Coturnix japonica: one gene and its partners. The protein of the gene in region 7 interacts with the protein of the main gene of each other region in a pairwise test. Links are inferred from orthologs where the notes say so. Each region holds a gene or a part of one and is shown on either strand. Other genes may lie near its edges. The genes, in order: CWF19L2, UBASH3A, ABI2, PDLIM1, ZC2HC1C, zinc finger protein 436-like and GFAP.

Region 1 (3,644 bases), on a different chromosome or scaffold from region 7:
TATAGTTAGTAACAACAAATTTTATTTTAAATCACTTCTCAGACCACTTAGTGCAGTATAAAATTGCTACGGATTAACAGTAAAACCAATGGGTAAAGGGAAAAAAAACAACACATGACAACTAGACACCACAAACAGGAAAAAAAGGACTGCCAGATGGCAGAACCTGGAGGACACCACTACAAATCAGGGAGGGATGGAAACAAGGAAAGAGCTGGACCACAGAATGCACACTGAGCAAATGCCTTTCTGAGTCCACAGCTTTGAATTATATGGGATGAGTACTAATTTTAAGCACATTTATTAAAAATAAGGTGACACGCTGTAAGAGGAAGTGGTTACTCAGAGGAGACACTGATAGTCTTCATGAAGGAGGGGGAAGACAAGCACCTCTACAGAGAATACATTATTGGAAAACCCAACTAGATGAAGGAAATTATGATTAACTGCCAAAGTGGATAATTTCACAATCTGCTTATAATTTGTTCCTGTACAGTAAGGTTTACAAAGCCTCAAACTCATACGTATCTTCTCTGCTACAGCTAAAGTAACTGAAAACTTTCATTCAGTGTTCCTTATATTGCTTGTGGATGGATTTTCTTCAGAGCAGCCCAAACGAAGCAACGTTTTGGACTGGTAACTAGGCCAGTATACACCATAATAATATACCAGTGTTTATTTATTGCTGAAGAGTGCTTGCTCCTCAGTCAGCTGTCCCAGCTGTGCCCCCTCCCAGCCCACTGCTTGCCCCTGAATTTGTTTATTGGAAGGTCAAGAGTAAGAAACAGAAAGGCTTTGATACCATGCAAGAGCATTGGCTGCTCAGGCTCGTGTGCTAGGGTTCCGCCCCTAGAATCCCAATTTCTGCACACAATCAGACCATTAAATGTCACAGTCATGTCTGCTTCTCATTCCACACACCACCACTTCATAGTACAACCCTCTATTTCCCTCAGGTCAGACCCTAAATTGTACTTCAATATTTTCTTGAAGGCATTTATTTTGTTTTTTATCCTAAAATTATGTTAAAGTTAGAGAACTGTGAAACACTTTACACACAGATGCAGTTTATTAATTTAAAGAAGAGCCCTGAATTAATTTGAGAAGTGATCTACCTTCAAATGGGTATATAAAACAATTATAAAATCATATGGTTCATTAAAAAAAAAAAAAAAAAAAAAAAAAAGATGTCCCGATGCTCTATCACAAGACAAGAAAATTATACTTTGTTTTATTGAGACAGGTGTTGGCTTTCCCTATTATGAAAGGCCAAGAAGCAGAAGAAACCCAAAGTATATCTATGGACCAATTTTTGAACTTAACAGTTTTAGCATTATTCCTTCAAGATTTATATGAAAAAAACATTTCCTTTGTTTTAGAAATAAAGATTTATAGCACTATTTGCATCTTCACTTCATAAACTTAGCAACACCAAAGGCTGTTCCAGGTCAATGCAAAAGATACATCATATTCTTTCCCAGACAGCAATTTGTAGATCTTTGATCTATCTTAATTCTTAAAGTTAATCAAGAAAATTATGCTGGTACATGTACTCAAAATGCCAGCTTTGTTCTCAAGCAATGTTTGCAGCTCAGTTCATCTGTTGTTGAAATAAATGGGAATCTTTTCTAACATCAATTATGAGTTCAGTCAGACTCCAATGCTCATCACGTCTATGCCATCTCCCGATCCACTAATTTAATTGCGCTCCTTTTCTTCTCTCTTTGAAACAGTTAATAACTTAAATAGATTAAAGCAATTTGCTGAAAATTTCAGTGTTCAATACATTTCATTACTTACAGATTTCCGAACATCTTTTGAAGAGAGATCAATTATCTTCTTGTTCATGGACCACTCTTCATCAGACTCCATTATAGCTTTCTGTAAAATCATTTATCCAAATGAGAAGATAGGCCTTCGTACAGCAAAGAACTCACTTTCCAATGGAGTAAAGCAAACTTTGCACTGCAAGTATGAGCTATTTCTTAACAAAGTAATTTTATTTTTGGTAATCTTTCTGATTTCGAGAACTTAGATACTTTATAGAGGAACCATTTAATATCTTGGAACTCACTTAATTCTATTCCTTTTTTTTTTTTTTTTTCCCCCGGAATCTTTCTTTAGCCTGACAAGCTATCTCTAACAAGAAACTTTCAAATTATTAGGGAGTAAAAGGTCTCAATTTCTTTTTACTGAGCTCATAATAAACTTGTTCTGATTTCATTATGCCATATTAGTCTTTTTTTTTTTTTTATCTTTTATCTTTCTTTCCCTTTTTCATTTTTGAACTCCAAAAGGAAAATCCAAATTAGACGTCTGATTGCACTCAAAGACTTGTAAAGCTGACTCTGCATCTATCATAGTATGGAAGTGTAGGTACCTTCTTATTTTTCATTTACTGTGTATTTTAATGGTGGAAAATTTCTGAACACAAATGACATTGTGTTTCACCTTTCTGCTAGTTTTCAAAGAAAATACTTAATGCACTTAAAACATAGCCAATGAAATCAGCCACGTGGAGAGTTACAAATGTGCCATAAAAGTTATTGCACTGCTATTCATCACACTGACATCCACTTCATTAAAACAATTATATTATTTATTTTCAGAGAATATTTTCAAAGAACAAATAAAATAATTTACTCATAAATACTGAAGTATGTGCACTCATTCAAATTTACCCTTCAAAAACCTTCTTTTCCAGATACTAAATCAATACATTTGCTCAAAGATCAATAAACATTTCTTCACCAGAAAAAAAAATTACCTATTCAAAACTGGCACTTCAATATAAGAAAACTTTTCCAGAAATACTATAAGTTAAATGCATTCAAATGACCTAAAGCTTTTTCATATACCTTAAAGTAGATTGGAGCCATATCTCCTACTTCTTTTGGAAGAGGAATGCATTCGTATACCATGTGATATCGTTTCTTCATACTCATATTTGTTTCCATAAAGACACAGTCCAAGCCTTTAGCCTCAAACATTTTCACCAGTGCTGTTCTAAACATCTGTTAAAAGAAAAAGAATGAATAATGTGAATTAGCTTTTCAAAGCTTCCAGATAAAATATATTATTTCACTAATAGATATAAAATTCCTTAGAAAATCATAATAAAATGGAACAAAGCAGGCAGAACTGAACTTGGCGAGGGATGTGAAAAACAATAAGAAAACCTTCTACAGGTACATTGGCCCAGAAGAGACAGGCCAAAATGGGCGACCTACTCTGGTAAATTTAAAAAGAGAATGGCTTCAACAGATGAAGAGAAAGCTGAGGTGCTGAATGATGCTTCACCTCGGTCTTCACTGGTGGCCAGGATTCTAGTCTTTTTCACTCCCTAAGTCTTGCACCCCATACCTTCCATGTGGGGACCAAGGAGGGTAAATCCGCTCCCCACTGTAAGGGCAGGAGCAAGTCCGAGAGTGCCTCCTTAGGACTGAATGAGTATAGTCTATGGGGCCAGATGGCGTGCATCCCAGGGTCCTGAAGGAGCTGGCTGAGGTGAGTTGCTGAGCCGCTCTCCATCCATATTTGAGAAGTCGTGGCTGTCAGGGTGAGGTCCCGGATGATTGGAGGAAGAGGTCACGTCACTCCCATTTACAAGAAAGGAGCAGGGACGACCCGGGTAACTACAGGCC
Region 2 (4,913 bases), on a different chromosome or scaffold from region 7:
TTCATATTTCCTTTTCACAGAATCATAGGATCTCCGGAGTTGGAAGGGACACACAACAATCATGGAGTAAACTCCTGGCTTCACACAAGACCACCCAAAAATCAAATCCTGTGTCTGAGAGCATTGTGCAGACACTTCTTGAATTCCAGCTTCTTGGGTCTGTGACCACTGCCCAGAGCAGCCCATTCCATGCCCACCAACCTCTGGTGAAGAACCTTTTCCCAACCTCCAACCCTGTTTCAGTTCCCACAGGTTCTATCGCTGGTCACCAGAGAGGAGAATAGCTAGAGTTTTCAAAATGCCATTGACATCCTTTACGTGACAGAGTCTTTGTGAGCAAATACTGAGTTCTTGAAGGCTGAAGGGTTCACAGTGTTTCATCTCCAGCCCTGCAATCCACCTGTAAACTTCTCAAAAGTGACATGAAAGGGAATGAGAGGTAGTAGAAATGGAAGAAAAACTGCCAAATTACTCCACATCTGCTTATCCTTCCTTCTTTCTTAAGGTTATCTTTTCTGACAGCTGTGTCCTGAGGGCATCCATTTGCTTAACCCAGTCCTCACATTTTTATCCTCCCTCCATCCGTATGGCACCTATGCATGTACTAGAGTGCCATAGGTGCGTTAAGGAGCAAGTCTTAATCTTGCTGTGGTTGCTTCTTCCCAGACTTTTCCTTCTAATGTAAAACTACACATGGGTCTGTTAAAAACAATTAAATATACATGTGTGCATGTGCAACCATACTTGGCTTCTTAGTGGAGGATCAGCACAGCTGAAGACTAACTCGAGTCTTTCCGCTCAAGCTCTACCTTCTACCTTTCTCCTCTCTAAAATTAAAATTGACTACCATGGCCAAATCAATCCCCAAAGCATGAACTAGTTGATCAAAAGTGGCCCTGTTTCCTCTGTGACCTGCATCGCCTCTCTGCTGACTCTTCTCTTCTCTATCACATCAAACATGAACAATTTGTGTTTTCATTGTGCTCCCCATGCAGCCTTTATTGTCATACCCTGCTGGAATGTAAATGATTACTTCTGCTTGGCCAGAACTTTGTCACCTACTGCTACAATTCACTGTGAGTGTTTTATCACTTTATGCCATGCCACCCCTCCCATTTGGAGACAAGCTTTTTGTAAACAGCCCCAAAGACAAGCAGAGCTTGACAGCAGTTTTTCTTTACATAAACTCTGTGCGATCGTAAAAGTAATAAGACAATTGGAGACCTGGGGCCACGGCCTGTCATGATGCTCAGCATCATCTCCTTGCTCCCCCACGCTCCTCTCTGTGTCTGTTTCCATCTTTCATCCCATCATATAAAGTTGGTATTAGGATGCTGTCCAGCAGGGTTTCTCAGCCCTCAGTGTTATTAAAACATTAGGCTGTAATTAGACATCCTGCGCTTCCAAGATGAGCAGCGGAGGTTAAAAGATAATGCATACGATAAATCCTGTACATGCCTAATTCGTTCAGATAAACTGTAGGAATAAATCTTTTTAAATCTGCATTCAAAATAATATATTTACAGGGAGAACAAGCTGGTTCTTCCTTAAGGCAGAAAACAGCGATCACATTTCAGTTCTATCAGAGCATGAGATATTCATTATGCTCATCTGCTGGTAGGCTCTATCATCAAGTTTTAGTGTTTTGTACTTTCTGAAAATGTTGCTTTTGCATGATTGTCCAACATTATGAAGCATTTCATAATGTAAATAATAAATAAAAATAAATATTTTCAACAAGGCTTACTTTTCATAGGCCAGGATGTCACAAAAGAGCAAATTTTCAGAACTTTCTTTTATGTCGGAGGCCAAGACCTACGGAAACAGCTAAAAAGCTTTATAAACTACAGTCCAATTTTTAGATGTGTTAAAGTCTGTAAAGACAAACAAACAAATAAATAAAGTGCTTTTGGACTTTCTACCATTTTATGTTGCATTGCGCTTTGCTGTGTCTTGATTTTGGCCTGGAAAGCACAAAGCCACGTCAATTACCGAAGAAAATGTTTTGAAGGCAGTTTGAAGAACATAACATACAGAATAGAAACTAGACTTTATTTTGGGGTGACCATACTTATACTATCTACTAGAAAAACAACAAGGCAGATTTTAAGCTCCACAGCTAAAATTCCACTGGGCATAACCAGGAATAAGGAACCCACAGCTTCCCTGTAAACTGTGCGCATCACATCTAAAGATGCTTCACTAAGCATCAGTTGTTCCCAAAAAACAGAGCCTGATCAGCTTGCTTAATTTTCAGTCTAGAATGGAGTTTACAGTGATAATTATGTCCTTTTTCAAACACTTGTTTAAGAACTTCTTTGACACTTCAGTGGAAGGACTTATTTTCTTCAGTCTTAAGTCAATGGCACAACTGGCTGCCACCACAGAGTCCAAACAGTCCAAATTCCCTTCAGAAATTTATTGACGCTCTGTAAAACCTCCAGGCCTCTCTTACTGACCAGAGCCATATCTGGGGAAAGAGCTGACCTCAAGTAACTGATTATTTACTAGTTTTTATTAACTGAGTTTTTATTAACTCAATTGGAACTGCTGCCACCAGTTCATCCTACCTCAGATGGAGCTGCCAAGGACAGGGCTTGACATTTTCCTGGTAGGACATACTTTTGAAACAAGATTCATTTTTAGGACAGAAAGACTAATGTGGCATCTTGTTAAGGAAAGCTTACCCTTTTAAAACAGTCTCCTGTGACAAAACCGAGACAGAACTTTTGTTTGCCAGGCCTGAAAAAATATTTGTATAGAAGCCACATCCACATTTAGTTTCCTTGTAATAACAGTGTTAAGTAGAAAAAAAAAAAAAAAAAAGAAAGGATTCATCCCTAGAGTGAACTATGGATATCAACTTCTTAACTCATTGTGAAGCCTCTCAAATTCCGGGTGCAGAAGACCATGTGCTTTCAGATACCCAGAGTAGTTTTAGAAATGGGTACAGAACAAGTTGTTTCAGCAGTAAGATCAATACACAGTGCTCTACAAGGTATTCAAAGTGAGACAGACCTGCTCCTCCTGTGGAGATATCTCCCCCAAGAAGCGGCACGTTCTCTTGATGGAAAACGCAAGCTGTATGCATTTAAGCAGATGCAAGAACCACCTTTCAATGTACAAAAGCAACTGAAAACATTACTCACGCGATGTGAGCTGGGAATCCTTTGGCCAGGAGAGACTCGAGGAGTGCAGATGGGCTTTTGCTCCTGCGTTTGTTGGACACCTTTGCATACAGCTGTGTCTCAGCCACCGCCATCTCCTCCTCTCTCCCTCTAGCTATGCGCAGTGCTGACAGAAATTAGGAGGGGGAGGGGGGAGGGGGCAAGAAAATGAGAGAGAAAGAGAAAGAGGCAGCTAAAAGAAAAAAAGAAAAAAAAAGAAAAAAAAAAAAGAAAAAAACCCCTCAAACTTCTTGTGATCTATTCTGACAAAAGATCATCCTGACATCCTGTTTTCGTAACCTGTGTGTCTTTGAGTTTTTGTTTTAAAGTAGTTAAAAAAGCAAAAGTATCTGCAGGCTGTTCCCATCTGCCCTAGCAGAACAAGATGTGTTGTCCAAGTGAAAATTTTAGAGTCAGGGTGGACCTGCTGAACAGTCTGAGACTGGATCTCCTAGCTCTTCATTTTAAATTCTCTTCTCGAAGCCAAGAAATCCATCTGAACTTCTACTGGAGAGGGAAAGGACTTCCTGCACCATATAAGAAGTTGTTTTGTAGGCTGAACTCGTTCTTCTTGGGCTCAACATTCATATTCTCCAGTTCAGCTGTACTTGGACACCCTTGTGGCCACAGCCATAGTCCACCAGCTGACCAACTGTACAAGGACAAACCAGGCTCCCCATCTAGACACAATGCCCTGGGTCTGAGCTTGGAGCAGTTCTGAGAGGCAGCTCAGTGAGGCCTGTGCTTTCTGGTAGTGCTGTCCTACTAATGGAGAATTCAAAAAGTGGATATGGCCTATCGTTGGGACTCCAAGGGTGGTCAGAGCAGGCAAAATGGCAGAGACAGCTTTCCCTGGCCTTGGCTATCCTTGCTGAGGGTACCCTGTCACCCAGGAAGGATGGGAATGAAAGGGTCTCTACAGCTGCTGGTCTCAAGAAAAAAGCCATTACTATCTCCTTGGCTGAAGTTCCCCTTGGGGCACCTCAGCAGTCTGGGCTGCCTCTCCCAGTCTTTACCTCTGAAGCCTGGTGAGGAGAGCATTTGAGCAATGCAAATGGCACAGGATGGATGTGAGCAGTGAACGAGAAAACTGTGCTCTGTCCTTTCTAAGTGCCAGCTTCCATCCCACATGGTGAAGGGACTGACTGTTTTCTCTCACTGCAGGAAGACACAGAGAAGTATTTTCATGGAAAACCATTTCTTCCACGGTCTCTAAGGAAGTCTTGTTTCACTTACACTACCATGACCTTTTACTTCATCTCTCTTCCTCCTTTTTCCCTCCACTCTCCCTTCAGCATCATCTCTCTATTTACTGAAAAACTGCAAGCCAAATTAGGACTACTTCTAAGTATTTTACAAAGCTGAACATAAGTTTTCATTTTCTAAGCCCAGACTGAAAAGAAGCTGATACAACACTCTCAATACAGGCACACTGTTTTCAGGAATGAGTTACTACTGTTTGAAAAATATTCCCAAAAGGTTGTACAATGCTTGATTATGGAAGTTATCCACAATTAACATATGTGTTGTTATTGCTGTTGTTTTCCCAGAACCCCTGTTTAAATGTGCTGTTTGCTATGAGCATACAGCAAAGGGTAAGGAAGTGAAGAAGGAGCATCATCCAAGGTCCCAATATGACAACACAAAGAAACACTTGGGTCTCTTCCTGCTGCCACTCAGGGCTGTAGGCAGACTCCTTCACTGCACAGTTTTTGATAAAAGATGAGCAAGCACAAGCCCGCGTGG
Region 3 (4,357 bases), on a different chromosome or scaffold from region 7:
GAGCAGCAGGCTTGCTGCTAACGGAAAAAGCTGTTTTTGTGCAAGATGTGCAAATCCACTTGATTAGATAAGTGAGCTTATTCTCTAAGTACAAAAAACTAGTTAATTCTAGTTAACAAAACTGGAGTCTCACCATGTAAGGATAATGCAAGACAATTCTTTTTTTCAAGAAAGTTCTTGGAATATTTTCCAGAAAGCACACCTCAGGAAAAGCACAACCATGTCATTTCTTGGTAGCGTGGCATACGCAGACATTTAATCATGTCCAAGAGAATAGCGGGGAGAAAAATAAATCTACACTTCATGTACCAGTACGTTTATTTACCTTACTGATGTGAGCTAATTAAATTTCAGTCTAATCCCAGAGCTACAGTGCGTGACTGAGCATTTTTCAGAATTAATACCCCTCATCACAGCAAATGGGGGAAAAAAAAAAGCCCAAGTTACTTTAAATTCACATCTCAAAATACAGTGTTTGCTCATTTTAGCAATTATTTTCACAAGCACTTTGAATTTCTTCTGCCAATCACATTCACCTTCTTTTTTCTACCACACATCACAAACAAAACAAAATAAACACAGAAACCAAAATGGAGTAACCATTGCTTTGTTAAGAGTATCCACATACCTCCATATAAAGCAGGCTCCATTACCTCACCACTTAACTGGTATTTCTTGGGAAACCTTAATATACATTTCTAATTACAGCTTCTTTGATTTGAGTGAGGTGACCTTGGAGAGAATACATTTCTTCAGGAGTAACCACAACTTCTGGGAAAAGACCTGGTCTTGCATTTCCCAAAGAGGAAAAGGGAACTTGAATTTGAAGCACTATTGAAATGCAACAGCATTCAGGAATGCAGTGTTCCTGTCCAGCTATGAAGTCACCACCTTTTTAATTACATATACTATAAAAATACTTAGTTTCAAAATGTTTCCCTTATTCAAAATCACTTGAAATCATACGCTTCCTGTGTACCATATGAGACTACCTTTGGTCTCCCGGGTCCCTTCTGTGCATGTTGTGTACTGCATGTAAGTCCTTGAAGGAGATAACAAGGCCTTCCAGGTAGAAAGACAAATCACTCTAGACAAGCACTCTAGGCAAACACAACAAAAACCCCTTTGTTGTGCTTGGATCACAGAGTTTAATCAAAATGGTGATGTTAACACTAGCTGACATCATTCTTTGTTTTATCTTAACCATAATCATTACCTTCCTTTTGAGTCCTCAGACTGACCTTCATTTACACAATTTAAATAAAGTCTATTTGGTAACTTTATTATTACCTGCAATGGCATTATATATGCTGTCTAAAATTGCATATGTGTCTGGATGCAGTGAAAATTCTCTATACTGCAAAAAGCAATGTTGAAATGTTTCCTTTATAGCTGTTTTCCCTTCCTTCCTATTTATTCCCCTTCAAAATTCAACATGCGTATAACGTGCCTAACAAATACCATGTATTTCACGCAACAGAGCTGCAATTCACTCATACAAACTCCTGTACCCTCTCTGTCCCCAGCAGAACCACCTGCTTCTTTCTCAAGTTAATCACGTGCATCTCTTCACAGTCTGACTCACAAGCAGTAATATTTGGACCTGACCAGATCCCTTAAACTCAAACTGCAGCAATTAACCTAATTCCTAATTCAATGCTTCATGTAAAACAACAAAGCCAAACAGATGATCAACAAAAGTACCCACACAGTAGCACTACAGTGTTTCAAATCAACTTTCAGACTTGACTTTGCTGACAAGGAACTTTCACTGTGTCCCTTGCATCCCTTGCATTTTCTTACAAAGCATTGTAGCTTTGTAAGAAAAGTCGTCCCTTAGTGTCACATCAATACTTTCACTTCTCCTCAGAAGCTCAGGGAGGACAGCAGAGATGAACAGCTGCTGAATTCCCCAACATACACGACAACACTGCTTGTTAAAATCTCAACCTGCTTTTGAGCACAGGTCATCCATTAGAATAACATCACATATGGAACTTCACAAGGGACATAGCTCCCCTGCACTCTGTACCAAACACCACTGATGTCTAAAATCTCTAACACTTACCGCTATATAGGAAGAACAATTTACTGAACTGGTGGTTAATCACAAGGAAAAAGCACACAAGCACACAGACTGATTAATGAAGAATCAGTGTTTTGCTGCAAAACCAAATACTTATTCCACACCAAAGCAGCTACATTATACACATAGTGTAGTAAAGGACTGAAGGGTGTCCAACAGATCCTGCAAATCCTGGGAGATCAAAAGTAATCTATCTGACAACAAGAGCCAAATTGTCCTGAGCTGTGTGCCATAATGACAGCTGCATGCTCTGTGCTCACACCTCCACTTCAGCACGGCTACCAGCAACGTACAGGAAGTTACCTCAGACTGGCTGCAAGAGCTGGAGACAAAATGTAGGATTTCAGAGATCTGAAAGTCAGTCAATTCAACCCTGCGTTGCATTCATCACAGCAGATAACCTTTCTTACCTGGGTTCTGGTTATAAAAAGGTCCTCCATTTATCTGGTTCTGAAGGCTCGTCTGTGACGTGATTGAAGGAGGACGCCGATATGGCAGGGATCCTCCTATTGTTGGTGGCGTATGTCGAGACGCAGGCCTGTTCATGCTGTAGAACTGAACTGGGTGGCCTGGGTTAGAAAAAGAAATGTGTTACCAAGGGAAGGATTATGCCTGTTATTTTTTTTTAGCTCCACTCAGAATTCAAAGGCTAGGAAACATCTCTGTTCTTTTACAGACAATCCACATCCTATAAGCAGTCAGCTCAGCTACCGGACTGTCAGAGCACTGCGTGTCTCAACAGCAATACAAAAAAAACCAAACTCCTCCAACTGCCTGTAATCATCACTAATCACACATACAAAAAAGAAAATGCAAAGGTACATATGCCATAAAGTGAAAGAAAATCACTTTCATTTATCCATTTTATGAAACTTATTATAATAACTGAATTTATAAGAAGTTCTCATTTATAAACCTGCAAAAAATATCACTTTGCACTCCAGCTGTCAAGCAACACAACATGTACAAACTGTTTGCTCTTATTCACAGAAAAACACAATGCTAAATATCTTGTTGCTGCTCCTGAAATATACAGAGAATCATCTGGGGAGAAGAGAACGTTATAAACCACTTGAATGGATGGGATAAATGAAATCATACTCAAAGACCTGTTTTTCAGGAGTTACCAATTGAAGCAACTCCTTGAAAATTTGCTCTGTAAAGCCTCAGACCGTGATCACATCTGGGCCCATCTGCCCACACAAGGGAGCAGACACTCACCTGTAGAGGCCGTGGAAGAAACAGCAGGGGGAGTTGGAGAGGTGAAGCCATCAGCAAGGGGCTGGGCTCCTGCAGCAGCAGCAGCATCTGGGGTAGAGGAGGAAGGGGCTGGAGCAGGAGGGGTGGGGGCAGGAGCAGAGGTAGAAGGAAGGGGAGAAGTGCCAGATGAGCCAGCGGGGGCTAGGTGAAGAGAGGAGGAAGAGGTGGCGTTAATAGGGAGATATGTTAGCAAGGATTATTGAAAGCCTTTGACTATTCAGTGTTAGCTACTTACTAGATGCATAGTATTTTAGAATGCACAAGGAGATGAGGGAAAAATGAAGCTACTAAAGAAAGACTCATTCTTACGTAGACAGTTTCATGAGGGTCAAGCAAACCTGCTGCTTCTTTCCAGGTCTGAAGGTAACAACCTAGAACCTTCCAGTGAGAGCCATTACTTTTGAAAGATGTCTTTAATCTTTGTTATTTAGGCTGTAATCTGTAGCATAGCTGCATTGAGTTTTTGTACAAATATACAGAAGAAGAAAGACAAAAGTGCTCCTTTGGTTCAAAAACATCATGTATTTCAGATCACACTGCAAGCCAAAACTATATGCTCTTTTTCACCGAAAGTGCTGAACAAGGAGCACTAACATCACTTCCTATTTCTGGGAAGACAGGTGTAGTTACAGTAAACGAGCACTTTTTTATGACAACTCAGCTAGGCTTGCACTGTGTATTTAAGGATTTACTCTCTGCCTGCCTCTCTTTTAATCCAACTGTCTAAAAGCAAGCTGCTATAGATCTGCATGAACAGTCAATGAAAATGCATCAATTTGCTTAAAAGGGATAAATTTCTCCCTGCCCACCAAAAAAGATACTGTGTTCTATCTGGTTTCATGCAGGCAGCCAGGCAAAAAACATTTGTAAATCAAGTAACGCATAAAATGAACTCTGCAGTACCTCAGACACTCTCAAAAAAAATATTACTCTATTCAAATTAACGCTACCAATAGCAAGCAATTTTCAATGACTGCATGCTTCTGGAAAATGAATTCTGAGGTTCCTCAT
Region 4 (3,664 bases), on a different chromosome or scaffold from region 7:
TTCAACATCAGCTTCAAGGCAAAGACTCATGCACAGGAAGGAGGAAGGGACTTTGGGTGTGCAGGGTGTAGGGTGAGAAGGGACACAGCTGGGCCTGGCTCCAGAAACCCAGGGCCTGAGATGGTGGGCCGTAAGATGAGATACTGCCCTTTTCTCATCTTAAAGGCCCATCAGATATTGGCTAATACATCTCACATGCACAGAGATTCAAAGCAAAAGCAAAGTCACAGCCTCAGATGCATCAGATCCTGCTTGCCGTGCCCTGAGTGCACACTCAAGGTCAAGCTGTTGGCTAGATTTGGGTTCAGAAAGAGGAAGTGGGTGTCCCAGCAGTCAATAAGGCTGTCAAAGCCTTTTCCTTTCTGCTGTCTGGTGTACGGTGTTGTGCTCCCCTCACAGCTCCTGAAGGATTTGGTTAACAAACTCCTTGTTGCAGGGATACAAGGCATGTGGCCCACTCCAGGGATGACAGAACTTCCCAATTGCAGGACCTTCAAAGGAGACATCTGGATGCCTACAAAAGTAGTGGATCCTAGACACTGGATAGGAGGCAAGCCTTTTAATATTTGCAGTGAAAAGGAAGCAACTAATAAAATGATACCATTGGTACAACTAGCATTATCTATCTGACTTTTGCCTGTACCAGGTAAGAGGGGAAGAAGGGATACAGATTCAGAACAGGACCAGAGGGAGGCTGGTAAGCAGACATGTCAGCTCCCCACATTGAGGTGGCACAAAACCCTTCTGACTATTACCAAGCCAACAAAGTACACCCACTGATCCTTTTGAGTGGAAGAAGGACCCTGGGAGCGGCTCACCCCAGTGAACAGCAAGGTCTGAGACATTTCACAGCCCAGGGCAGCACCACTGGCAGAGAAACAAGGAAAAAAGCTGGGGCACTGCTCACCCCACTGCCACCCAGCCTGAGTGCCACCACACTGCTTTACACAGCCACAAACAGTGCACCCCAGGTTGAGCTTAAAGCAGTTTTTCCTACACAGTGGCATTTGGCTCTGAGGCTTGCACCAGCTCAGTGCTGAGAGATGCCTTACAGGAGACAAAAACCCATGGGCCCTTCAATCACACCAGGAGGCACCTGGCTGCTGTCCCCATCACTGGCAGCATCCCCTTGCTGAGAAGGAAGCAGCAGCTATGTTTTCAGGCTCTACCCTATCCCCCTGCTTGCCTTTTCTGCTTTGAACAGCACTTTGTTCACATCAGTAACACTGACAGCACATTTTTAAATCTCTAAAGGAATCAGCTTAACAGAACGCCCAAGGAAACATAACTTGTTCCACTCTCTGAAACACCACAAGCCTCAGCAAGCAGGCTCAAATCTAAACAGAGAGCAGCCATCATGCTTCCCCACACCAGCACCCACACACAGACCCCATCCTTCCAGCTGGTGTGGATCAGCACAGTCCATGCCTCTGGCAATGCCCCAAGGACTGGCCCTGGCTGGGGAGATGACGGCTCCCTGCTGCTGCTCACAAGCCAATGCCTGAAGACAAGCTCAGAGGAACATCCCACAAAAGGTGCCACTTATTGCCAAGGATGCTATCTCAGCCAGGAGCAGTAGTAGTGTGTGAGCCAGGGCACCATATCCTCTAGGGCTGTGTAACCTTGCTCTGCATGGGTGATTACAGCCCACGGCAGAGCAATGCCCAAGTCTATCCTGGCCTGTGATCAAGCAGGCAAACCTCGTGCCAGAGAATCCCAGTAATGCTGCAAATCTTCAAAGAACGATAAACTAGAGAGGCTTTTGCTTCTTATCTTCTTCAGCACTACTAAACACAGGGGAGGACCTCAGATGCGTGAGAAGTCCTGGCTCCTCCAGTCCCTTCCATGCAGGAGCTGAACCCTGAGGGGTAAGCTGCAAACACTCATTATTAAGATGCTTTCAGATAGGAATTTTAACAGTAGATTAAAGACTCAAAAATCCTGTTTTCTTTCTTCCTTTTGTTTCCTTACTTCCTTCATTTTACTGTTCCCTTACAGATCACTTAGGTCTAACAGCATTTGGCTGAGCAGTTTTCCTTTCTGATATCTCAGCACCATGCTTTTGTTGGATGAAGTTGAATGCTTCACTGCAAGCCAATAACACCACAGATGAAGTCTCAACCGGTTTAAGAGGGGAGGAAAAAAAAAAAAAAGTCATTCCTGGAATTCTTTTCCTAATTATTTGTTTATTTTACTCTATTTAAAGGCAGAAGGGAGTGTGATTTGGCTCCCACCTAAGTTAATCAGAGTTTTTTATCTAGAAGTCTATAGCCTTGATCTACACACTGTCCAGATGGCAGATTGTGTGCCAAGCAGCACAAAGTTTTCACAGGTTTAGAACTGCAAACTGATCGCTTCTAAGTTTTTAGATTCAGTTGCAGAAGGGGACCCTTTTTCCTCCCATAGAAGGATGGTACCTGGGAGCATTAAGACTCACTAAGGGGCAAGACCTTGTGTTACCTGTTATCATAAATCTAAGATGGTCCTTAAATGGGTGAATATTTTCCAATAGGGGCAAAACTTGAGACAGTCCGGAAGGCTTTTGCAACTTTTAGAATTACTTCTTAAGAACTAAATGTAGTAGGCTTTTATTTCTTCACCATTTGGTCATCAAATGAGTAACAATATGTATCCATAGACGTCGAAACTAGCTGAAGAAATATAAGAGTAAAGTCGGTGAAAGGGACTACAGTTTTTGTGGAAGGCACCTACACATAATACCTTGGAAGAAGCAACAGCTAAGGAAGGAAAACAAAGTTTGAGACATTACTCTGAGACACCATACACAGCCCAAGGAAAGGCTGAAAGGAAGGGCGCACAGGCAGGCTTACCTTTCTCCTCTGACTCCAAAATCTCCTGCAGCACTAGGAAGGAAGCAGACTGTCTGGGTGGCTCGTGCGACTCTTGGTTCTCCTGGAGCATCTTGTAAACCTCAGAGTCTCTGTCTATGGCAATGCTGCCTGAGGGATGGCCATGCTGATCTAAACTGAGGAAGGAAGACAACACGCAACTATTAAACGGCTAAACACTACAGCAAGTCCCTCTAGCAAAACTATGGCAATGCATCACGTGACTGAGAGAAGAACGTGCAAACAAAGGCAGAACAGGATGCCATGAGACAGAGGTGCCGGATGTGCTTGCAGAAGACAGCTGCAGCCCCAGTGGGACTGAGGCGCTGGGCCACCCACATGCCCTGCTGTCATCGGATTCTCACTCACCACCCCTGGCCAGCCTCAGCACATTTCGTCTGCTTCCCAATTGCTGCTTCATCCAGAACCAGGACAATAAAGAACACGTGCTGGGATAGGAGTCCCATACAGTAGCTTTGCCAACACTGCATGGTCCCAACACACCTAAACCACCTGAGACTGCTACCTTACACTGCCATGACTCTCAAATTCAGTAAGCTTTATTCCTTTAAAAATACGCATCTTTGCAAGTGTGTTATGAAGTGGTCATAAAAGCCACCTTCACACAGTAGCAGCTGTAGGAGCCAGGTAAAGGATCCTCTGATTGGAAATAGTTCTCTGCTTTTCAAGTGGACATTATGTCCATTCATCCCCTATCTAAGGACCCAGAGCCAGTGCCCATTTACATCATTTCAGTGGGGTTAATGAGCACCTCAGAGGCAGAGAGATTTCTGCCTCCTAAGGCTGAGCCCTCA
Region 5 (3,780 bases), on a different chromosome or scaffold from region 7:
TGCTACTGAGTTGTTATAGTGGAACACAACTTTTGCCTGCTCTGACACTCTGGCTGAAAACTAGTTTGTCGTTGTCTTTTTTTGAAAGGTTAAAGGGTGGAGTGGTTTGGAGTTTCTGTTTAAATAAATGTTTAAACTCGTTTGCTCGTGTTCTGACTTCTTTTTGCAGAAGAGTAAGGGGAAACATACATATGTTATCAGAGGCATCATGTTGTTTGATATGTTTTTTTTCTTCTATGTCCTGGAAAGGGGACCTGAGGACTTACAGGTTCCTTGCTATGGGAAAAAGTGTCATGTTTTCTGATTCTTAGGAGCAAAAAAAAAGGCCCTTTTATTGCTGTATCTCCTGGTGACGTCAGGGGCCCTTTTGTGTGTGTGGCTTTTCAACAGTTTTAATGCCAAGTGGGAAATGAGTAACAGGAAGAGAAAGGTTCACAGGGAAGAAGCACCTGTTTCTCTTGAACAGCTTTAACTGAGCATTAAGTCTATGGAGGTGAAAACCTGACTGGTATCAGCTCAGCAAACTGCTCCTGCACGATGTACTTAATGCCTGTCACCTCTAAGCATTTTATTGGGGATTTCTGTAAGTTGTGAAATGCCTGGAGAGGCAGAGCTGGGTCAGAAACTTCACGTTCAGTCAAGAATCAGAAAGTGAAAATGCAGCATGTCTCTGAGAGTGGGATCGTACCATGGTAGAGGAAGCTGAGCCAGATGGAGTAACACAGCTTGGGTAACCCTAACTGTGACAGCAAAACAGCAGGGCAAATCTCTGCTGTCTTACGTTACCTGAGAAATTAGCTCAGCAAAACAGGGTGAAGCGCTCAAGGCTAGCTCTGAAACAAACATAATGAAGTCTAGTGATTTAATTTCAATAGCTACTTTTGCTTAATCTACAGTTTCAATTCCAGCATCAGCTCCTTGCCTGTTACTTAAGGAAAGTCCCCAGTTGATTTATTTTACCGTATCAAAAGCTTTTGTATCTATCTACCCCAGTGACCATTTGTTGACTTTTAGGATCCACTAAACAATAAGAAAAAACATACTGCAAGGAAAATGGAATCAATACTACAAGACAGTCAGTGGTACTGAATTTCTTAACTACTTTTTAATTCAGTAGCATTTTCATTAATTCAAGACTGTGGGAATACAGCTTTCAGTTTATTCCTTTCTTACCCCTTTTCTTGTCACCTCTTGCTATCCTCTTATCACCCTATGTTAATAAGTTCTGAAGTTAAAGCATTGCTCTTATTTTCCAGTCGGTTTGGATACAGTGAAGTCTTTTCCCTTGTTTTGAGTCTGTTTTTCTCTCTTCTCTGGGTTTGCACATTCTTATACATACCTGGCTGACAGTGCAGTACTGACCCTTTCTGGGACCTTCGTGTTTTTCTAGGGTGTGCCACAGGATTGGGATCTCTGCCCACATGTCTATAGGTCAGAAGCACTCCAACTTCTTTCAGGAGTCTGGTCCACCCATTGCAGGCTGGGGAGTTCCTTCAGATTCAGGTTTTTACTAATCCAGTTCAATCTGGTTGCTTTTTATCTGTTCTTGTTGTTTTCTTTTTCCCTCAGGCTCCTGTGAGGAGCTGGCGCTGCATTGCTGAAGGATTTGCAAAAGGAGCTGCTGGAACTTTTTTTGTTCCTTGTTTGCTTCCTGTTGCAACTTTCTCATACAAAGTAGTCGTTCTTACTTTGAGAACAAAAAACACTCTGTGACCATTTAAAACAACTTTTTACAAAACAGAAATAGGCTAATATTAGACTAGTCTGAAAATCAGAATCTGGAAAAAAAAAGACAAATATGCAGCAACTGTTACCACTTTGGAGCAGATGCCCTTCTCCAAGTCTGTAGGACATCTATTCCCCCCCAAAGACCCTTTAATAGTTTGTGACAAACAAAGCCCTTCAGCATAAGGCCAAAATAACCAACAACTCCCTTGCACCTCACCCAAGAAGGGGCAGATTTTTGTCACGATCACCTACAATTGCAGCATACAAAATGGAAACAAAATAGATGACTTAAAGAAGGGTTAAAGCCCTGTTTCAGAGGTCCCTATTACCTTGACCTGCAAGTAAACTCCATCTTTTTGATATTAAATCTAGTTGTTGATTTACCTGTTGCACTGCCTGTTGTGAAGTTCCTTAATGTACTGCTTGGTTATTTTATTACTGTATTGGTTTCTAGCTGTAGCTGTTCTTGAATGTTTTAGGTGGAAAGTAAATAGAAGCTATGTTAGGAATCAAGGGGAGGTGGCTGTGGAAATTCCTTCTCAGCTCCTGAAAGTGATGCACTGAAGTACAGTACTATCGCTGGTTGTTATTTGCACTTTTTATCATGAGCCTGAAGATGGAAATGAAGAACTGTGACACGGAGCATTTGTTTCTTACTCCTGCAGTACAGTCCCCTCCGTGATCTTCTCAAAAGTCCATCCTGAAACAATGTAGGTTCCTTGCCTCTGCTAACCTAGTTGGAAGATTTTTCCATGACCTCACTCTTCTGATTAGAAAACTAATTTCCAGTCTAAGCTTATTCATGGCCTATTTTTTGATCTTGTGTGGCATTATTCTTTAATTGAATGTTTTTCTTCTCCTCTTTCCCAAGTCCAAGTCCCGGTTATTGTACATAGTATGTAATCACTTTGACATGGCTGTTCTGCTGCCTGAAGGGCCTGGCCAGTACAGAGCATCTCTGCTGTCCTATGTATGTGAATTGACATACGGACCTGCACAGTAAGTGCTGCTGCTGCTGGTTCTTCTACCCCCCATGAATTTCTGAGCTGAGGTTTATGTGTTGAAAAAGTATTTAATAATGTAGCCTCAAATTCTCCTAATTGAATAACACCATCATTTTTTATGCCTGGATTTCTCAATGGTAGTACATTACACTCTTCTGCTGGTAGGAAATGAGAAGAGGTAGAGAAGGCAGCCCTCAGAAGGGCATCACAATCCAGCACACAGATTTAAGTACAGAAACTTTTATATTCTGCTTATATGTCCTGAACTGTTTACTTACTGTAAATCTTGCTCAACACTCACAGCCAGTGTTGAGAACAAAGAAAGCTGCCTTATCAGCGTTTCCTCTGTGGGGGGAATGAGGGTCTATTCTTGATGTTCTTGCATTTGGGAATGTGTGTCTCAGCTACTTGGGGTGCAAAGCGGCGCCTGCAGTAGGGGCAGGCAGTGTAGTCTGGATTTTCAATGGGAGGGAGCGGAGGCAGGTCAGACACCTTCCCTCCCTTGGACAGTACTTGTTGCACCTGTCGAGCGTGGCGCAGGGTCTGGATGAAAGCCTCATGGTTCTGCTTCCAGTTGTTCCTTCTGGGTGGCTTATTCTGCAGAAGGGAAATGCAGTCAGAGCTGCAGGCACCGCTGCCAGCCTCCATCCTCAGCCTTGCTCTCAGGGTCCAATTCTAGACACCTCTCCCTGAGCACTCTTAGTTGATGTAAAACCTCCCAGGGAAGCTGAATCCCACCAAGCACCAAGGAGGGTTTGATGGAGTTACTGATGCAAACATCACTGCTTAGAAAAGAGCTTGAGAATGAACAAGAAGCAGGCAGTAGCACCAAGGAAATCACTGAATGGCTCAGGTTAGAAGGGACCTTAAAGATAATTGAGCTCTAACTCCCATGCCGTATGCAAGGCTGCTAACCACTAGACTGAGAGATCTAGATGCTGAAGCTCCTCTGAAGGAACAGACGTGCATGTTTCCACTGCCCTCAGATTGCTAGTCCATTTTATTACCTGTTTTTTCAGTCATTTCCCCACAGCCCTCCACTGTCACA
Region 6 (4,798 bases), on a different chromosome or scaffold from region 7:
GCGGGGCCGGGAGATGAAGGGGGGGGGCACGAGGCGGGTGGGGGGGGGGCAGCTGCTCATATCCCCGACCCCTCGCAGTCATTGGGCAGAGAATACCGCTGCCCCTCTCCCCCCCCCCCCGGCATTTTTCCACATTTATTTATTTATAATTTATTTCTCCAAAGCTGCCATAGGCTGAGAGTTGAGGTTTCTTTCCCTTTTCCCTCTTATTGTTATTTCTTTTTCTAGGGGCTGCCGCACCGTTTTGGATGGGGATGGGGGAAAAACACGCAGCCCTTCCCCCCAGCCCCACGTTCCAGCTTTGTGTAACGGCTCCGGATCTGACCCCAAGCACTTCCCCGTCCCATTAATTCGTGGCTGGAAATGATGCAATGAGGGCAGCGCCTGCTGAGCACTCAGCGAGGCCTTAATCCCCTCCTGACCCGGGGCCCTATGTCCCCATCCTATCCCCATCCCCATCCCACCCCCATCCCTATTTGATCCCATCCCATCCCCATCCCATCTCTATTTGATCCCATCCCATCCCCACCCTATCCCCATCCCTATTTGAGCCCATCCTGTCCACATCCCCATCCCTATCTGAGCCCATCCCATTCTCATCCCCATTGAATCCCTGAGCCCATCCCATTCTCATCCCCATCCCATCCCTATTTGAGCCCATCCCATTCTCATCCCCATCCCATCCCTATTTGAGCCCATCCCATTCTCAACCCCATCCCATCCCTACTTGAGCCCATCCCATCCCCATCCCTACTTGAGCCCATGCCATCCTCATCCTTATTCTCATCCTCATCCCCATCCTGTCCCATCCCCATCCCTAAACCCAACCCATATCATCCCCACCCAATTCCCATCCCAAACCCATTCCACTCCATCCCCATCCCGCAATGCCAGCCACACATGCAGGCTCATGCCAACCAGTGCAGGTGTTATTCCTGCCAGCACCACACTCTAACTGGGAGAACTGGAAAATCCATCCCTACTGATCCATCCCATACAAAGCGCAGCCCCATCAGCTGCCCTACAGCACGACCCCGGCCGGGCAGTGCAGCTCCAGCACCTTTTATTGCTTTGGGCTGTAGATCCCACCACCCTCATTGCGCTCCATGACCCCATCCCACTTTCCACCCATCAGCTTTTGGGGTCTCTGGGTGATGGGCTGAGCACCCCACAGTCCCCATGCTGGGAACACAGATAAAGGGACCGGGACCAACGCTGCTCCCCACCCATAAAGCCACGTCCCCACTATGTTGAGTGCAGCTTCTGGTGCCGGCGCAGCTGGGATTTGTGGCGAAACCCCTCCCCACACTCCACGCAGATATAGGGCTTCTCGTCGCTGTGGGTCCGTCGGTGCCGGTTGAGGTGTGAGCTGCGGCTGAAGCACTTCCCGCAGTCCGGGCAGGAATAGGGTTTCTCTCCGGTGTGGGTCCGCTGGTGCTGGATGAGCGCCGAGCTCTCGCTGAAGCGCTTCCCGCAGGTCCCACAGCTGTAGGGTTTCTCCCCGGTGTGGATGCGTTGGTGGGTGACCAGGTTGGAGTTCTGGCTGAAGCCCTTCCCGCAGGCCCCACAAGTGTAGGGCTTCTCCCCGGTGTGGGTGATGCGGTGTCTCACCAGGTCTGAGCTGCGGCTGAAGCCCTTCCCACACTCCCCGCAGATGGTGGGGCGCAGGCGTCCGCCCCGTAACCCCAACAGCTCCTCCAGTGGCCCCATAGCATGTGGGTGCCCCAAAGCTCTGCCATGGGGCTGCGCTGCTGCTGCTGCTGCTTTGCGACGCCTCTTTGCAGGGCGAGCTGGTGCCTCACTGCCAGGATGGGCTGCAAGGAGAGCACGGCTGGGCTCCGAGATGTGGGGCTGTGACTCCTTCACCCCTTCCCCATCCCCTTCATGCCTCCTTTGTCCCCTTTACACCTTCTTCGTCCCCTTTGTGCCTTTCCCACCCCTTCTGAGCCTTCCCTGTTCCCTTTGCTCCTTCTCTGTGCCCTTTGCATCCCCTCCATCCCTACTCCCCCATTTCCATCACCCTCTCCATGTCCTCTTCCCCTTCTCTATCCCCTTTGCACTGTCCCAATCCCTTTTCCACCCCATTTCCATCCCCCCTCTCCCCATCACCTCCACCACCTCTGCCCCCTCTCCATCCCTTTTCCATCCCCTCCACCTGCATTTCCCCACTCTTATCCCACTCTTCATCCCCTTTGTGCTTTTCCCACCCCCTCTGCTCCATCCCTGTTCCTTTTCCACCCCCTCCCCCCTTCTTTCCCCTTCTCCATCCTCCCCACCCCAATTCCCAATTCCTCCACTCCATTCCCATCCCTTTATCCACATTTTCTCCACCCCCTCTGCCCCTTCCTCATCCCCTCCCTGCTTTGGGGACACCCCCGCACCCTAACATTGGTTAGGGTCCCCACTCTGTGAGACATCCTCACTTTATGGGATCAGGGCATCTTCCCGCTGTGCTATTGAGATACTGCCATATTATGGGATGCGGGCACCCGCCGGCACCGGGACACTCCCACACTGTGTGATCAGAGCACTCCAGGACCCCCACCCCAAGATCGGGTCAACCCCTCACCCCCACGCGTGGGACCCCCCCTCAGCTTCCCGGCCCGGTCCTGGTGGGGGGATGACGGGGTGGGGGGGCTCACCTGTGGCAGCGCCTTCAGAGTCCCGAGGGGGGTCCGGGCCGGAGGGCCCCCCCTCTGCGTCCATCACGCTCCGACGGGAAAACGCTGTTGGGGGGCGGAGAGCGGCGGGGGTGGATAAAACAAAGCAAAGAAATTGGGTGAGACGGAGGGGGGGGGGGTTACAAACACCGGCCGCGGCACCAGGACCCCCCCCCGCCCTCCCGCACTCGCACCGCAGCTTTGCCCCCTCCCCTCCCCTCCCCGAGCTCATCGGGGCTGGCAGTGGGGGCTGCAGTGATGGCGCAGCTCTTGTCCCCCTCCCCCCCCCCAAACAAATACAACCCACCCGCGGTGGGGATGGGGACGGGACCCCCCCCGGCCGGGGGTTGCGGGGGACCCCGGCGCGCGGCCCCGCGTGGTGCTGGGGGGGGGGGGGGGCGGTTGATTTCAGAGGGGGTTATGGGGAATTGGAGCCCCCCCAAACACACCGTTTTGTGTGTGGGATGGAGGGGGCACAGGGGGGTCCTTTCTGCCCCCATCCATGTTTACAGCTGGTGGGGCTGAGAGGGGAGGGGGCGGGGGGGGGGGCGGCACGGGGGCATCCCAGCACTTCCCACCACATCCCATTATATCCCAGTATGTCCCAATGCACCCAGCACTTCCCATTGCATCCCATTATATCCCAGTATGTCCCTGTGCACCCAGAACTTCAAGTGCATCCCATTGCATCCCAGTACGTCCCAGTGCACCCAGCGCTTTCCATTGCATCCCATTATATCCCAGTACATCCCAGTGCACCCATTACATCCCATTGCATCCCATTATATCCCAGTGCACCAAGCACTTTCCATTGCATCCCATTATATCCCAGTACATCCCAGAGCACCCAGCACTTCCATTGCATCCCACTGCATCCCATTATATCACAGCACTTCCCATTGCATCCCATTATATCCCAGTACGTCCCAATGCACCCAGCACTTCCCATTGCATCCCACTGCATCCCATTATATCCCAGTATGTTTCAGTGCACCCAGCACTTTCCATTACATCCCATAGCATCCCCCTGTAACCTATTGCATCCCAGTACATCCCAGTACATCCCATTACATCCCATTGCATCCCATTACATCCCATTACATCCCATTACATCCCATTACATCCCATTACATCCCATTGCATCCCATTGCATCCCATTGCATCCCATTACATCCCATTGCATCCCATTGCATCCCATTACATCCCATTACATCCCATTACACCCCATTACATCCCATTACATCCCATTACACCCCATTACACCCCATTACATCCCATTACACCCCATTACACCCCACGGTTGCTCGCTGTCCGGGTGCCCCCCGGTTGCCCCCATCTGTTGCTCTGCCCCACTCTGCCCTGCAGTAATGGCGATACTGGAGTTCACTGGTGTGAACTGGTCCCAGTGTCACCCAGCACAGGGACAACAACGTCACCCCACAGGTGACACCCGGTGTTACCCCAATCCCCAGCCCCACGGGGACATGGTGTCACCCCTATGGGAACACGGGGACACCCCGGTGTCACCCTATAGGAACACAGGGACACCCCGGTGTCACCCTATAGGAACACGGGGACACTCCGGTGTCACCCCATACTCAGACCCGCTGTCACCCACCGCCCAGCGCCGCCCCGCACCCCCGAACCCCCCCATTGGGGCCCCCGGCACCCGCTGGGAGAGCAGAGGGAGCGCTGATTGGTGGAGAGCCGGCTGGGGGGCGGGGATTACGCGGGGCGGCGCCTGGCGATTGGAGGAACTCGGATCGTGGGGGCGGGGCTGATGAGAAGGCGGGGCTTATCGGGGCTCCGCGCGCTGATTGGTCGAGAGGGTAGAGGAGAGAGGTTAGGAGTCCGCCGCGCATGCGCGCCTTCTTTCGCCTTTCACTTCCGTGTTTCGGCGGCTACTTCCGCCTTCAGCTGGGCCTGGCGGGGCCTGCGCCGGTTCCGGGCTCCGGGTCCGTTCCCGGTTCCGGTCCGTCGCCGTGTCCGGGCCGCACACCCTCCTTACAGCCCCCTCCCTCCTCCGGTTCCCGCTTCTCGTCGTCCCGCCCCGCCTCGACGCCGCTCGGGGCTGGTGGGCCGGACCGGGCCGGGCCTGGCGGGGCGGTGCCGGTAGCGGGATGTGGTACATCATGCAG
Region 7 (3,029 bases):
GATTTGCCACCACTGTGTCACTTCCTGGCCACACTGAAGGCTTGTGGTGGGGTTTTAACCTCAGTAATCCTGTTTGAATGAATAGCTGGAGTCGTTGCAGTGTTTTCTGGCTAAACACCATGGAGTTCTTCTGCCATGTCGGTGATTTATTAGGGCTGTTTTTCTAAGAGGCCACTGTAATCCTCCAGACTGTTCTACTCCAATTAATTCTGGCTTCCCTTACCTTTTAAAAAGTGCCAGTCATATCCCCAGTGCCAAATGTGTTCCTCAAGGCCAACTGCAGCCCAAAGCTGCCCACTAAGGCCAACAGCAGTGACAAGGACCCTCCTATTCCTGGTGCCAACTGTGCCCCAAAGGGCACCAACATTTCAAGACACTCAATGTTTGTGCAAGATCCTCAGCTGGAGCAATCTCATTTTTAAGAAGCTGAGTTTATGCATTTTTATTTTCTTTCTGCACCACAACGTGGTGGGCTGGAGCTCAAGGAGCATTGGGACACCACTCTGAGACATAGGGTTTGGGTACAGGTTTGGGTGGAGCTGTGCAGAGCCAGGAGCTGGGCTCTGATCCACGTCCCCCTTCCAGCTGGGGGTATGCTCTGATCAGCTCTGCCCCGGCTGATCCCAAAAACACACCGCCCTGCAGCTTGTCCTGCAGGTTACAGTCACAACCACAGACATAGCACTTGTGTTAGGCTTTATTTCGCATCTCGTGTTGTTGCAACATTAGGGCATTAATCCAGTAGCAATAAGGGCTGCAAAGCTCCATCCAGCTCATGGGGGACAAAGTGACCCGCAGCACTATCACTCTATAACACATCCTGCCCTGGGAACAGTCCCTGTGGAATTAGGAGCTGCAAAGCTCTGTGCTGAGCTAGAGGATGTGGAGATAAGCAGGGTGAGGAGGCAGTACCCATGTAGCAACCTATGGGCTCACGTTATAGGGCAAGGGGATTGCTGGTGAGTGGGTGCTGCTGCATTAGGTGGCAGCAGGGCACGTTTAGCTCATGGTCAGTGGCTAAAACAAAGTGAGTATTGGGTCTGCAGGGGCCCCAGGTGGGTGACATGCACTGGGAGAGAGCACAGGAGACAGGGCCACGTGGAGCTGAGGGACAAGATTTCTTCCAGCCCCTCGAGAATGCCTGTGCAGAGCTGGGCTCGGGCCATGAGCCCCCTGACTGTCTCTGCATCTCTGGAGATAGGAGCACCGTGGTGGGGGACACACCATTAGGGTCAGAACAGTCCCATGGCACCGTGCCCTGGAAAAGCCAACAAAGACTCCCACCCTGCTGTGCCCATTGCTGCTCCAGCCCCACAACCACTCTGTACCCCCAGGCACCCTGCTCAGACCCCACACCATCACCCTTCTCCCCATCCCAACATCGACCTGCCTCCCCATATGCTCCATCCTCCTCTTCCTCCTGCCTTGGCTAAGCCCAACTGCTGCTTGGCAACAGGAAAACATCCCTGACCATGCGGTGCTGTGTTCCCCCCAGCCCTCCCAGGGATGCTCAGGACATGGTTGGGATGCTCAAGGTGGTCTCCTGCACCAGCAAGGTGGGAAGTGTGGAGCAATGCCCCCAGATCTCAGCCCTGGCCAGACCAGCACAGGAGTCCCTGGGGCATGGGGTGGTGGGAGAGGTGAGGGTGGGTTTCTCCTGTGGCTGTGGCCCCACCACAGGGCTCCATCGCAGCATCGGGTGGGATCTATGGAGCTACAGCTACAAGCGTGGCTATGAATCACACACTCTACACCACCTCCTTGTGCTCCTGCTTGGACTCCTTGATCACCTGGAAGCAGAAGGAGAGGGACTGTCACCCCATCAAGTCCATCTAAACATGTCTGGGGACAGAGCCCGTGCACATGACAAACATCCCCCCTTGGGGACACCTTGAGGATGGAGGGGAAAGGGTGTGGAAGGCGCAGTTGAAGACTTCCCACCTCTCCATCTCTTGTCTCCACTGTTTTGACCACAATGCTTCTCTTCAAATGAGCTTCTGACACAGATTTGGTGTCCAGGCTTGTTTCTAGGAGACATGGATGGGACAGGTTGGTGACCCAGTGCCCCATATATGACCCCTCCACCCCATACACCTTGAAGGGTCCCAAAAGGAACTAGTTGGGCTGGAAAATCCTGATCTGTGGGAGTGAACGCTATAGGCCTCAGGAGGAATGCTGGCACTGGGTTGTGGTTGGGGACCTTGTGGCTGGAGACTGGGTTGTGACCTTAGGTATGAAGGTGGCACTGAGGATGTGTCTGGCTTCAGAATGTGGCTGGTCTTGGGGACACAGTTGGCACTGGGGATATGATTGGCTTCATCAGTGGTGTTGGCCTTGGTGACATGGGTTGCTTTGAGATGTGGTTGGCCTTAGGGACAGCATCGTGCTTGGGGGAATGGTGGGCACTGAGCTGTGGTCAACACTGAGTATGAGGGCAGTACTGGGGACACAGCTGGTGATGGGCGCACAGTTGGCACTCAGAACACAATTACCCTCATTGTTGAGGTTGGCCTTAGAGACATCATTGGCCTCAGCAACAGGGTTGACCCTTGGGGAATGGTCGGCACTGGGGACGTGGCCATGGCATCGTGCTCATCCCCTCTATATCTTGGGACTGTGGGGGACCCTTCAGGCACAGAGACCTGGCAGCCCCCCCTGCCCCCATCCCACACAGCCGCAGCCTCACCTCGGATCTGCAGGTTGGAGAAGCTCTGCACAGGGACGGTGATCCTGCGGGAGCAATGGGAACGTTGGGGAGAGCACTGGGTCCCCATGTGTGAGCAGGAGGGCTGCAGGGTGCTCACCAGACCCAGCAGCACCAAAAAGGCCCCGAGATAGTTCAGGACAGGGGGGTCCATCACCTGCTCTCCTCGCCCTCCAGCAGCTTCCTGTAGGTCGCAATCTCAATGTCCAGGGCCAGCTTGACGTTCATCAGCTCCTGGTACTCCCGCAGCTGCCGGGCCATCTCCTCCTTCAGGCCGCGGATGTCCTCCTCCAGCCGCCCCACTGTGTCCTGGTAGGCGGACGTC

Evidence for each region.
Region 1: the proteins of GFAP (region 7) and CWF19L2 interact in binary tests that used the Homo sapiens proteins (3 or more experiments, as listed by UniProt). The link is inferred for Coturnix japonica from reciprocal best matches to the Homo sapiens genes GFAP and CWF19L2.
Region 2: the proteins of GFAP (region 7) and UBASH3A interact in binary tests that used the Homo sapiens proteins (3 or more experiments, as listed by UniProt). The link is inferred for Coturnix japonica from reciprocal best matches to the Homo sapiens genes GFAP and UBASH3A.
Region 3: the proteins of GFAP (region 7) and ABI2 interact in binary tests that used the Homo sapiens proteins (3 or more experiments, as listed by UniProt). The link is inferred for Coturnix japonica from reciprocal best matches to the Homo sapiens genes GFAP and ABI2.
Region 4: the proteins of GFAP (region 7) and PDLIM1 interact in binary tests that used the Homo sapiens proteins (3 or more experiments, as listed by UniProt). The link is inferred for Coturnix japonica from reciprocal best matches to the Homo sapiens genes GFAP and PDLIM1.
Region 5: the proteins of GFAP (region 7) and ZC2HC1C interact in binary tests that used the Homo sapiens proteins (3 or more experiments, as listed by UniProt). The link is inferred for Coturnix japonica from reciprocal best matches to the Homo sapiens genes GFAP and ZC2HC1C.
Region 6: the proteins of GFAP (region 7) and zinc finger protein 436-like interact in a two-hybrid assay, tested with the Homo sapiens proteins (2 studies listed by BioGRID and IntAct). The link is inferred for Coturnix japonica from reciprocal best matches to the Homo sapiens genes GFAP and ZNF774.

Annotation. Positions count from the first base shown.
Region 1 is NC_029516.1:161,586,076-161,589,719, reverse strand, and holds part of CWF19L2 (CWF19-like protein 2), read right to left. Parts: intron 3,015-3,644; coding exon 2,859-3,014; intron 1,882-2,858; coding exon 1,801-1,881; intron 1-1,800.
Region 2 is NC_029516.1:98,572,278-98,577,190, reverse strand, and holds the start of UBASH3A (ubiquitin-associated and SH3 domain-containing protein A), read right to left. Parts: upstream 3,289-4,913; 5' UTR 3,263-3,288; coding exon 3,150-3,262; intron 1-3,149. UniProt on the Homo sapiens protein: Interferes with CBL-mediated down-regulation and degradation of receptor-type tyrosine kinases. Promotes accumulation of activated target receptors, such as T-cell receptors, EGFR and PDGFRB, on the cell surface.
Region 3 is NC_029522.1:11,947,419-11,951,775, forward strand, and holds part of ABI2 (abl interactor 2), read right to left. Parts: intron 3,488-4,357; coding exon 3,308-3,487; intron 2,656-3,307; coding exon 2,497-2,655; intron 1-2,496. UniProt on the Homo sapiens protein: Regulator of actin cytoskeleton dynamics underlying cell motility and adhesion. Functions as a component of the WAVE complex, which activates actin nucleating machinery Arp2/3 to drive lamellipodia formation.
Region 4 is NC_029521.1:13,996,958-14,000,621, reverse strand, and holds part of PDLIM1 (PDZ and LIM domain protein 1), read right to left. Parts: intron 2,987-3,664; coding exon 2,832-2,986; intron 1-2,831. UniProt on the Homo sapiens protein: Cytoskeletal protein that may act as an adapter that brings other proteins (like kinases) to the cytoskeleton. Involved in assembly, disassembly and directioning of stress fibers in fibroblasts.
Region 5 is NC_029520.1:34,611,024-34,614,803, reverse strand, and holds the end of ZC2HC1C (zinc finger C2HC domain-containing protein 1C), read right to left. Parts: intron 3,330-3,780; coding exon 3,066-3,329; 3' UTR 1,084-3,065; downstream 1-1,083.
Region 6 is NW_015439867.1:518,847-523,644, reverse strand, and holds the start of zinc finger protein 436-like, read right to left. Parts: upstream 3,066-4,798; 5' UTR 2,968-3,065; intron 2,727-2,967; 5' UTR 2,707-2,726; coding exon 2,643-2,706; intron 1,815-2,642; coding exon 1,247-1,814; intron 1-1,246. Other genes in the region: ASB8 (ankyrin repeat and SOCS box protein 8), read left to right, coding at 4,781-4,798.
Region 7 is NC_029542.1:785,420-788,448, forward strand, and holds the end of GFAP (glial fibrillary acidic protein), read right to left. Parts: coding exon 2,862-3,029; intron 2,731-2,861; coding exon 2,687-2,730; intron 2,028-2,686; coding exon 1,942-2,027; intron 1,791-1,941; coding exon 1,749-1,790; 3' UTR 680-1,748; downstream 1-679.